Danio rerio: one gene and its partners. The main gene of each other region encodes a partner of the protein of the gene in region 2 in a complex. Links are inferred from orthologs where the notes say so. Each region holds a gene or a part of one and is shown on either strand. Other genes may lie near its edges.

The links.
Region 1: the proteins of mios (region 2) and wdr59 are in contact, whole or in part, in a cryo-EM structure (PDB 7UHY), measured with the Homo sapiens proteins. The link is inferred for Danio rerio from reciprocal best matches to the Homo sapiens genes MIOS and WDR59. Residues at the interface, in NP_001357005.1 of Homo sapiens: Asp705, Trp710, His711, Arg713, Ala714, Ile718, Ser721, Lys728, Pro729, Leu730, Ala731, Gln732, Val733, Phe734, Val735, Ser736, Cys737, Asn738, Phe739, Ile744, Lys780, Pro781, Leu782, Pro783, Leu787, Cys788, Leu789, Gly793, Pro795, Gln819; in NP_085058.3 of Homo sapiens: Tyr871, Arg876, Glu877, Arg879, Ala880, Glu881, Leu883, Lys884, Pro889, Pro890, His893, Lys894, Gly895, Ile896, Glu897, Phe898, Gly899, Val900, Tyr901, Arg906, Glu908, Val909, Arg910, Thr912, Phe922, Gln923, Ala925, Ile926, Cys927, His928.
Region 3: the proteins of mios (region 2) and castor1 are in contact, whole or in part, in a cryo-EM structure (PDB 9LVK), measured with the Homo sapiens proteins. The link is inferred for Danio rerio from reciprocal best matches to the Homo sapiens genes MIOS and CASTOR1. Residues at the interface, in NP_001357005.1 of Homo sapiens: Ala83, Asn84, Val109, Pro110, Lys111, His112, Ala113, Arg114, Asp134, Lys135, His136, Arg137, Asn184; in NP_001032755.1 of Homo sapiens: Val94, Ser116, Thr117, Tyr118, Gln119, Thr120, Asp121, Thr188, Tyr236, Leu255, Thr256, Ser257, Ser258, Ala295, Tyr296.

What each region holds. Positions count from the first base shown.
Region 1 is NC_133193.1:7,039,652-7,043,308, forward strand, and holds part of wdr59 (GATOR2 complex protein WDR59), read left to right. Parts: intron 1-1,094; coding exon 1,095-1,211; intron 1,212-1,301; coding exon 1,302-1,379; intron 1,380-2,198; coding exon 2,199-2,355; intron 2,356-3,568; coding exon 3,569-3,648; intron 3,649-3,657. UniProt on the Homo sapiens protein: As a component of the GATOR2 complex, functions as an activator of the amino acid-sensing branch of the mTORC1 signaling pathway. The GATOR2 complex indirectly activates mTORC1 through the inhibition of the GATOR1 subcomplex.
Region 2 is NC_133191.1:51,769,465-51,773,121, reverse strand, and holds part of mios (GATOR2 complex protein MIOS), read left to right. Parts: intron 1-1,434; coding exon 1,435-1,689; intron 1,690-3,657. UniProt on the Homo sapiens protein: As a component of the GATOR2 complex, functions as an activator of the amino acid-sensing branch of the mTORC1 signaling pathway. The GATOR2 complex indirectly activates mTORC1 through the inhibition of the GATOR1 subcomplex.
Region 3 is NC_133180.1:12,722,552-12,726,208, reverse strand, and holds part of castor1 (cytosolic arginine sensor for mTORC1 subunit 1), read left to right. Parts: intron 1-1,622; coding exon 1,623-1,758; intron 1,759-3,415; coding exon 3,416-3,539; intron 3,540-3,657. UniProt on the Homo sapiens protein: Functions as an intracellular arginine sensor within the amino acid-sensing branch of the TORC1 signaling pathway. As a homodimer or a heterodimer with CASTOR2, binds and inhibits the GATOR subcomplex GATOR2 and thereby mTORC1.

The DNA of each region.
Region 1 (3,657 bases), on a different chromosome or scaffold from region 2:
ACATTAACTTTCACGAAAAAAAAAAAAACATACGATTGTGAAGTGAAAGAGAGGTGTTACAGTGGTAACTTATACACATTTACATGCTGCATTAAAAGATCACACTTTTAGGGTAATGACTTTATAAAACAGGGGTGGCCAAACTCGTCTAATAAGCTTGTTTTATCCTGCCCCTTTTCGCTCAGCCGCATGACAGAATATCACAAGTAAATTAAACAGGGGGCTAATAATTCAGGGCGGCTAATAATTCTGACTTCACAGGGTTCAACGCTAAGGACATTTTCTACTGGCCCGACTGGACCAGCAGTTCAGATTTTTACTGGCCCTGCCAAAATTTTCACTGGCCCCACCAAAATAAATAAATAAAAAATAGCTATTTTTTTAGCCACATATTTTAAATAATGTGTCAAAAATAATGTCGTTGAATCTAGAATTTAAATATTTTTAAAATGTTAAAATATTTAGCAGTAAAATACAGCAGTATGGAAAATGTGCAGGTATTTTATTGCTAAACAAAAAGTGGCGGACTTAAAAGTGATGGAAAATTATGCAAAACATCACTTCATTTTTTTCGATGTGTTGTACCCATGTAAATATCTTTTTCCACAACGTTGGAAACAGACGTTTTCTTTTAGCCGCATAATTTGATGTTGTCGTCTCTTCACTGTTCTGGTTTTTACCAGGTTGTGAAAAAATTAACGTGCTAACAACAACCAATCAGATAAAAGGAACCAAAAAGCAATATGGGGTTCACGACTTTACAGAAAACGTAGCATTCTGAGACTTAAAAGCACAAATTGTTTCTCAGTTCTAAGACTGTATTTGCATACAATTGACAGTAGCAGGCAAATAAAAATTTGATGACAAGGCAGCACTGGCCTGATCGGGCCAGTAACGATTCTCTTTACTGTCCCGAACATCTCTCATGCTGGCCCCGGGCCATCGGGCAGTCCTTATTGTTGAGCCCTGCTTCAACTTTGTATGTCTATAGGTGGGCCCACACAGTTTGCGCTACGCCACTGTTTTTTGTTGGACTTCCCACAAGTTTCAATGGAAATAAAACATTTATTCTATTCTACTGTATTCCATTTCAGAAATCGAACACTGCAGTCGAGTACGTCGCTGCCCACCTGTCAAAGATTAACGGTCTGGACTGGCACCCTGATAATGAGTACATCCTGGCTACTTCAAGTCAGGACAACTCTGTTCGGGTGAGTATAATCATAATTATTGATCATATTCTTAAATAGTTTTAGCTGCAGTTTTGCTGATTCTGTTTTTATACTGATTTATCTCAAAAGTTCTGGGATTACAGACAACCCCGGAAGTACCTTGATATCTTATCCTGTCAGGTGCCTGTGTGGAAGGCCAGATACACGGTAAAGTTTAAATATGCAGTTTAAATATATATTTTTCTTGATATTTTCATTTTAAATACTTTGTTTGTTTCTGTTGTGATGATCTCTATCAGGCAAATGTTTAAAATGATTACGTATTTTTGTTTTAGTCTCAAAAATACAATAAAAACAATATGGAAAAATGGGTGGCACATTGGCTCAGTAGTTAGCAGTCGCCTTACAGCAAAAAGGTCGCTGGTTCGAGTCCTGGCTAGGCCAGTTGGCTTTTCTGTGTGGAGTTTGCATGTTCTCCCCATGTTGGTGTGGGTGCTCTAGTTTCCCCCACAGTCCAAACACGCTCTATAGGTGAATTGAATAAGCTAAATTGACTAGTGTATGAGTGTGTATGGGTGTTTTCCAGTACTGGGTTGCAGCTGGAAGGGCATCCGCTGTGTAGCTTATCCAGTCCTTCCAGCCGCAACCTAGTACTAGGAAACACTTATACACACTCACATTCACACACACACACTATGGTCAAATTAGTTAATCCAATTCACCTTTACCACATATCTTTTGAAATGTGGGGAACACCCGGAGGAAACCAGGGAGAACATGCAAACTCAACACAGAAATGCCAACTGGCCTGGCTGCCACTGGAACAAGCAACCTTCTTGCTGTGAGGTGACAGTGCTAACCACTAAATCACCGTGCTGCTCATTAGTGAATTTTTAAAGTTTATATTTTTATTTGTATTTACGCTGTTAATATAAGAGATGGAAAAATGAAAATTAGTAATTCAAATAATGGAGAATCTGCATGTTGTAAAGTACTCACTGCATCCTCTCCTTTTCTTCTGTCTAGCCTTTCTCAAATGGGCTGGTTACAGTGATGGTTCCTCAGCTTCGGCGTGAGAACAGCCTCCTCCTGTGGAGCACACTGGAGCTGAACAGCCCTGTTCATGCGTTTGTGGGCCATGACGATGTTGTGTATGAGTTTCAGTGGAGGCCGCAGAAAGAAGGTGAGCAGAGCTGGCAGTCGAAGGAAATTAAGGAATGTTATTTACCACAAAATCCCCAGATTGATTTTGTGTTTGAATTGACAATTATTAGTCTGAACCCTTGTCATCAAAACCAAAACTGCCTCTTCTCTCCTCCCACCACATCACATGACAACCTCAAAACGTTATGCATTTATGAAATGCGCTTTACACAAGTGAGTGGGCTTGACAAACCACCAGTAGAAACACTTTTCTCTCTCTAAAAAAACACTAAAAAAAATAAAGAAACTATGAACAACTGATCTGTAAAGTGTGAGTTAATATATTAGTTAAGTGTTAGTTATCAGTTTATGTATGTTATTGGGACGTTATTCTAAAGATGCAACTATTCCTCATTTACTTACAGTTAATAAATAAAGAATAGTTGCAACTTTAGAATAACGCCCTATAACATATATACACTAATAACTGATACTGAACAAGTCTTTAGTAAGTAATTTACTAACAGCTTGTTTATGATCTATTACTTATTAATTAGGTATAGTTATAACATTAAAAAACTGTTACAAAGTCATTTAAAGCTTGTTAACTAACAGCTTGTAAGTTATATATTGGCTATTTATAAGGCACAGTTATAAATAATTAACAAACTATTGACTTATATAACAAGTCATTTATAACTCACTAACTAACAGTTTATTAATGGACTATTAACTAGTTATAACGAAATAGTTATACTAAATTGTTACCGTGAATTTTTGACTAAATTGACTACATCACATCTGTGTGTGAATGTGTATGGGTGTTTCCCAGTACTGGGTTGCAGCTGGAATGGTATCCACTGCGTAAAACATCTGCTGGAATAGTTGGTGGTTCATTCCACTGTGGCAACTCCTAATAAGTAGTGGACTGAGCCGAAGGAAAATTAATAAACCAATATTTTGTGTCTGTGACCATAGAACTGGAGAGTTTTTAATAAATCATGCATACCAACTTTAACTATAATTTTTTTTCTGCTGTCCGTCTTTTGTGCATAAGCTGTATCTGCCTCAAAACAATGATCAATAATTGATGTCCATGTGCTATAATCAATCCTTAATAAAGTTTAGCAATTACTCAATAGTCAATTAATTGCTTTCATCTATAATGGAGATAATTCTGGCAATAAATGCTTCATTTTCACTTTCATAGCAAAAATATAATTGTATTTGTGCACTGTTCATATATATCTTAGGGTCCAAAGACTGCCAGCTGGTCACGTTGTCCAGAGATCAAACCCTGAGAATATGGAGAGTTGATCCTCAGCTCCAGAAGGTGATGCTT
Region 2 (3,657 bases):
TACCCTACTTAATAATAATAATAATAATAATAATAATAATAATCCTCATCATCATTAATATTATTAACATTATTAAAGTAGGATTTTTTCATTTCCTAATAAATAATAAATATTAAATTTCATTTCTTAATAAATAGCCTCAATATTTATTTATATGATTTATATATGATATTAGAATATGTGTTATCTTTTTAAAGTGATTTTATGTTTTAGAATAGAATATGGAATGTTCTCAATAATATTTGTAAAGGAAACACAGGCCCTAGATCTGTCGTTTACATATATTTCAATTAATATGGAAAGAGAGTGCATGTTTACCAAAACTAATATTGGATTTTATTTTAAATGTATGTGCATGTAAAACTACACTAAAACAAAATTGTTTTTTTTTTCTAAAGAAGTAGTTACTCCACGCCGTTTAAAACATCATTATGGCTATTTTACGATAAAACTAACGTGGTTCCAATGATGGATCTGCGACAGAGAAACTGCGGGTTTTCAATACAAACAATGTATTGCACTATGATAGTTCAGCCGCAAGTTACATCGTTGTTTGGGAAAAGCACCCCTTGATGATGATCAGACAATACTCTCACTGTAGAATTACAAATTATGACAAGAATAAAGTTTGGAAATGTTAATTGATATTTCAAACTGACATGAAAAAAATAGCAACTGACTACAGAAAAATAGAAATACCTGAAATAAAACCTTTTCTTGTGAAAATACTAGTAGCCTAAGACTTTTGCATTTGGGCTGCACAATATATTGTTTCAGCATCGATATCGCAATGTGCGCATCCGCAATAGTCACATCGCAAAGATATATGTTGAGTCTAAATTATAATTAAACAGGAGCTACACAATTGTTTTTAATTACTGTATTTATATGACAATTATATGATTTGGGAAAATAATTTTTTTTTCTTACTTATAATTTTTGACTTTTTCTAAATTAATTATCTACATTTCAAAGTGAAAACAAGATTATTTTACATACCCCATGGCAGATAATTTAGCTTATTTTAAGGAAAACCTCTTAATTTTGCCTTATTTCATATGACTTTTAAAACAAAACAATATTTTTACTTGATCTAAGAATTTTTGGACTAGAAACGAGACAAAGAAAAATAAGAAAAGCATTTTTTTTGCATTGTAATTAAAAGCTACAACCGTCTTGTGAAACTGTATTCATATTGCAATATTTATCGCAGAAAATAAATATCGCAATATCAGTTTTTTTCCAATGTGTGCAGCCCTATTTTGTACAGTACTGTAGATTACGAAAATTGACTTTCATATTCACAGAAAAGCATCTTGGGGTGAAAGAAAAAGGTGTAAAACTTTTTGTTCACTCACTACCTATTGTGATATATTCTGAGATCTTGATGTTGATCGTAATGAATGAATAAAGAAATAACGATTGGTTCCTCAGGCACTACAGAGACACGGCGGTGCTGGTCAGGTTCAGACAGGCAGACGGACGTCCCACGGTTCCACAGTGAGGAGCGCAGTCTGGCCCTCCAGTTGTGTGGCTGGATCAGTCAAGGGCCCGACACCGATGTTGAACCCTTCCTGAAGTCTCTGGAGCAGGAGGGCGAGTGGGAACGAGCTGCTGCCGTCGCCCTCTTTAACCTGGACATCCGGCGGGCCATTCAGATCCTGAATAAAGGAGCTTCCTCAGAGAAAGGTAACAGGACTGTCACTGTCACATCAACAACAGAATCAATCAACAGAAAAAGGAGGAATTTTAAGAGAAAATTTCTCTTTTTGTCTATTCTTAATAGCATTTTTTAAAAGAATTTAAACTATTAATTACAATTAAAACAAACCAACAAATAATGCCCATATGGTAAAGAGAAGCAAAATAAAGCATGTAAATATTAGCGGTTGCACCGACAATTTGACTGGTCGGCTTTAACAAAGACTATAGAATACACAAGGCATGTCAGTCTTGCTGTACGTTCACACCAAAAGGCGTGAGAGCGTCAAAGTAGCTGGAAGTCATTCATTTTCAAGAGGAGCCGGTGGCGATATGCGGCGAGGAGCACCACGGTGCGCCGAGGAGAATTGAAATCAAGTAATCTTTATGGTAATGAGCTATGACTTGGTTCAGCGGGAATCAATCAGAATGTAGAAGTCCACCGATTGAGAAGAGTCCAGAGAAATCACAGTCACTGTAAACTTTGGTTTCGGCCACAGTTGTTCCCAAGTGTTTGATGATTGCTGTCGCCGGATTTCCAATTATTTGCAATGTTTTCTTACAGGAACGTACATCTTTGCTACTGTTGCTGATAATACTAAATATAGCAATCTAACATCTTGTACAACATATCAAATTTATTTTAAACTCATAATTCAACAATTCACACTTAAAACATTTTAGGTGGATCATTTTTGAAATCTGTTTAGTGACATAAATTTGATGGCTGTTTGCCGCCACCCATTGGTTACACAATGTAATTGCTACAACATTCACCAGCGTCCAGTTACAACAGTGATTTTAATCTTTACCATAAACATCAGTGTGTATAACTGAACTATAAACTGATCTTCCAGTACTTCTGTATTAGTTATTTGTTTGTAACTAACTAAAAAAGTGTAAAAACTGAATCTCTCTCAATCAAACACAGATTTGAATGCAGCGCTTCGAAAGATTAATACACATATACAAATCATCATTGCATCTTTTTATTTATATATATCATCATTGCATCTTTTTATTTATATATATATATATATATATATATATATATATATATATATATATATATATATATATATATATATATATATATGAGCAATTCCATGAAAATGTCAACCTTGTCATGAAAAGAAAAATGTTTTCATTAAATTAGCGAAACCGTTTCTACGCTTTTTTGTGTAGGCAAGTGTTTTACAGTACTTTAAAAATACTTAAAAATGTCTCTGTCAATGTTTTCAAACTATTATATTTGATTTACCAAAGTCAAACAAATGGCAATTTCACATCCGTCACATCCCTAACGAAAAAGTGTCCCATCCATAACAAAGCTTTTCCCTCAAAAATGCAAAAATGTCAAAATAAAATAAAATCAATCATTTTTGTTCTATAACGAGCCAACTCTTATACTTTTGATGAGCATTATTTATTTTGGGTTGTGCAGTTTAATTCACAGAATTTCTACAAAGTATGTTGTATACTGTAAACTCAGGGACTTTTTTTTTGTCACATCCATAACGCATGTTTATTTTCCTAATTTAAAGTATAAAAATGTTCACAGATTTAAATTTTTTGATTCCATAACTCTGTGGTTAGTTGTTTTGGAAAATATAAACAGATGATTCAATATAATGTTAACGTATACTTTCTCTGCGAATTTATGTTTTGAATTTTTACTGCAAATGTCACATCCATAACGCTAGAATCAGCTATATATATATATATATATATATTAAACATATAAAACATACCATAACTCAAATACATTTTTCCCATTTTTAGCACATTGCTCTGCACAGTTGTCATTAATGTAATGCACAAAAAATCTTTTTTTTTACTGTAATACTGCAGAATAGTGTTTAGTAGATAGAAAAGCATTAATAGTATTACATAACTGCAGTAATAGTCGTTAATTGTATTTAAAAGCATTTTTAAATATTAGTTTTTTTGTCATTT
Region 3 (3,657 bases), on a different chromosome or scaffold from region 2:
TGTGATGTGATGTGCGGCTGGCGGCGCACACAGAATAGAGAATAGAGCCTAGTTCACGTGGCGCCGCATTTGATTTGAGATGAAAATGTCTCAAATGGGTACGACTGTACAGACAAAACTGCAACCGCTGTGGGAAAGGAAGTAAGTTTTTGTTAAAGTTAAGAAAAACCTAAGGGATGAGTTTTTTAAAGCCAAAAGAGGTCATGGCAAAAGTTTAGACCCAGGTACACAATTATAGAATATGTTTTTAAACCATTTATAGGTTTTACACTGGTGTATATATTAAAGTTTTGATTTAAAAAAAGTAATAGTTACAAAACTATAATTAAAAAAACGAATTATTTCTTTGATAACTGGAATAGAATATTAGAATTTTTCGGTTTACAATATACTGATGCCTTGTTTTACTAGGCTTTATTGGTGATAATGGTCTGGAATGTTGGATCATTATTGCCTTTTTAGCTTATAAGTATACAACAGAAACTAACCAGACAGTAATGTGTGACTTGAGTGGACAAAATAAAATAAAATAAAACATCAGTATTTTTTAGAAAGTGTACTTTTTTTTGTTGCTTTTATTCTTTCCATAATAAAAATTTATACTTGTAGAGCAACTCAAGTTCTGTAGTCAATAATATTTAACTTTAACAGGTAAAACTGTCCAAGATATGAACAAAAGCAAGTGATCAAATAAAATTCAAATTTAAAATCAAATTTTGATTTTAAAAATTATAATAAATAAAGAAATAATAAATGTAATAATGAATAAAAAATAATGAAAAAAAATTAATTTAAGAATCTTGAACAATATTAATGATGTGAAGTATAGTTCCGGAAACTTCTTACTTCTCTGTTTATCTGTCTGACTTTACCATGGTTTTCTTTTGACCGGCTCTGTCGTTTTAAAGAGCCTCGTCCTTTTAAGCGCAGTCAGTGAAGTTGCGTGATGTGGTGCCTGGTGAAAGTATAAATCAGCCTTAAGATGTTTGTTTGTATTTTCCTGTAGTTCAATGATGCATCTAACCTGTCTTTAGTACTGTTCAATTTGAATACATTTATTTTACCACTAGTTTTGTGATTTTTGCATTTCTCTTTATGTGTGTGCGTGTTTTTGATGTTGTGATATAGATCATAAATGTTATACTTAATGGTCTTGAAAAGGTCTTTAAAAGTTTTAAATTTGACATTATGATATCTGCAGAAACCCTTATAAATACTTTTAGATCATTAACTTTAATCATTACAATTGAAATGTGAAGAGACTTTCAAACCAGCACAACAAATAATGTTTCTGAAGACAATCACCTACTGCACCTTTAAACTAAAGTGTTACCACCATTTTTAGATTAAGTACAGATTGTCACTAATACCCTCACTTATTATGTATCTATTAATAAGATATTGGCTGTTTATTAGTACTTATACTGATCTGTTTCTACATCCTTAATCATATCCAATAACTAAACACAACTTCAACCTTACTAACTATTGATATGCAGCAAATCAGAGTGTTTCTGAGCTAAAAATCTTAGTTAATGGTTTGTTAATGTGAATGTATCTTAAACTAAAGTGTGAGCATGATAATGGTATTTTATTAACACACTGAAATGTCTGTGTTGTAGGTGCGAGAGAAAGACCTGTCTGTGGTGGTGGAGACTCTGGTGGAAGAGTTTAATATTTTCCGAGAGGAGGGAGGAGAATCAGTGCCTGTTCACAGTCAGGACTCCTGCAATGGTCTGCAGAGGAACGGCAGAGAGGGTGAGTGTAATGAAGTTTACGGCCCTTTTGCCGCCGGGAAGAAGGAGGCGGAGAACCGACGCAGGAGACTGCCGTCTAAACCAAAACAAACGGATGGCAAATCCTTACGGAGACTGCCGTCAAACTGAAAGCAAAAGTAAAACAATATGCCCGGGCCCGGTCCTCTCTCGGCTTCCTCTGCCATCATTCCTCCTTTTATGGTCCAGAGCTCCTTCCGTGGGATTCGAGGCAGGTGCGCACCGCAGGTGTATCCACTTACGCGGTGGCCTCACTCCGTTCCCACGGCTCTCGGCCACGCCCCCTCACCACAGTGAGAAATGGATAAAATATATATTCAGTGTTCATACGGCCCTGAAAAACCTGGAAAAGTCATGAAATTTTGCCAAGGCATTTTTGTTCAGGCTTGGATAAGTTTTGCAAAAGCTAACTCAAAAAAAAAAAAAAAAAAAAGCCTCTGAACCGTCTCTGTCTACAGAGCATGAGAGCACTCAGATTTACTGTATCTGTTGTTTCAATCTCAAGATGAATGAATGCAGTAATTAATGATTAATTAATAACATCATTTTCATTTTTGAGTGAGCGAACCCAAAAATGTAGCATTCGCTGTTGGCCAGGGATAAATAGGTGAAGTTTTTTGAGAACTGGTGGATGGTTCCCAGAGGCGAACTGGCCATCTGGCATACCGGGCAGTTTCCCGCTGAGCCGACGTACTTTTTGGGCCGGGCTGATCATCTTGTTATGATCTCATAGGCCCATAAAACACTTAGCAGACTGACGTTTATTTCTGCCTAATTGATTGGCGATGCTGTGACGATCTAAAAGTAAGATGTTTCTTATTCCAAACAGACCGGCCCATGTGACATAATCTGCAGCCCATTGGTTCTTTTCTTTATTGACATTCGCATGATGATGAGATATCATGACATTTTGTTTTTGATCGTAAGCATGATGTAGGTTTATAGTTACAATAACATTTATACAAAATGGTTATAATGATATTTACATATGATAAAACTAGTGTGCAACTTAAGCAAAACTAGTACTATTGTTTACATTTAGTTATGTAGTTCGGGCCCAAACAAATATTTGTTGCATTTTTTTAAAGAAGTTTATTTGATTGACTACCGTCTTTAAACTATGTTTGATGTTTTATTGTTGAGTTAAATATGTTTTAAGGGTCTCTGTCTGACACTGCTTTTATTATTTATCTTTATTTTGGTAATCAACATTAACTGTGTGCATCAGCAGGCAGTTTTTGTTATGTTCATTATTTAATGTAGGCTCCCTCAAAACACACAGGCGCACACAAGACGGACTTCCAGTGTGGATTATAATTTTATTATAATAATAAATAAAATTTTTTAAGCATTTAATTTGTCAACTTTCACTATTTCCTATATATGGCTTTTGTGCTTTTCTAGAATGGGAGTTGGTAAACATATTCAAGGGCGTGTACAGATAGGGACCATTTTGATTGAATGTAGTGGCCCGCTCTGTCCCAGTCCAGCCCTGATGGTTCCTATTAATTCCTGTAACTACATGGCACTAAAGCACCTATTCATTGCCCCCAGCTTGGTTTAATAACAGCTTGTACACTTAACAAATGCTAGTATTCCAACGTGAATATTAAATCTAGTTTGTCTTTGTGTTCATTCAGTTCCACATGCAACTGTTCATCCAGTGTTGATCCCGGAGAATCATTTTTGCGTAATGAGTTTGGATCCGGACACTCTGCCAGCAATCGCAACCACCCTCATAGACGTTCTGTTTTACTCGAACAGGTATGAAAAGTGCTGATCCGTGCATTGGTGATCTTTTCACTGCTTTGAGTATTGTTTGGCAGCAACAAAAGCAAGTCAGCGCTGTCATTTACTGCCAGCAAGAGGTTTTTTGAATTAA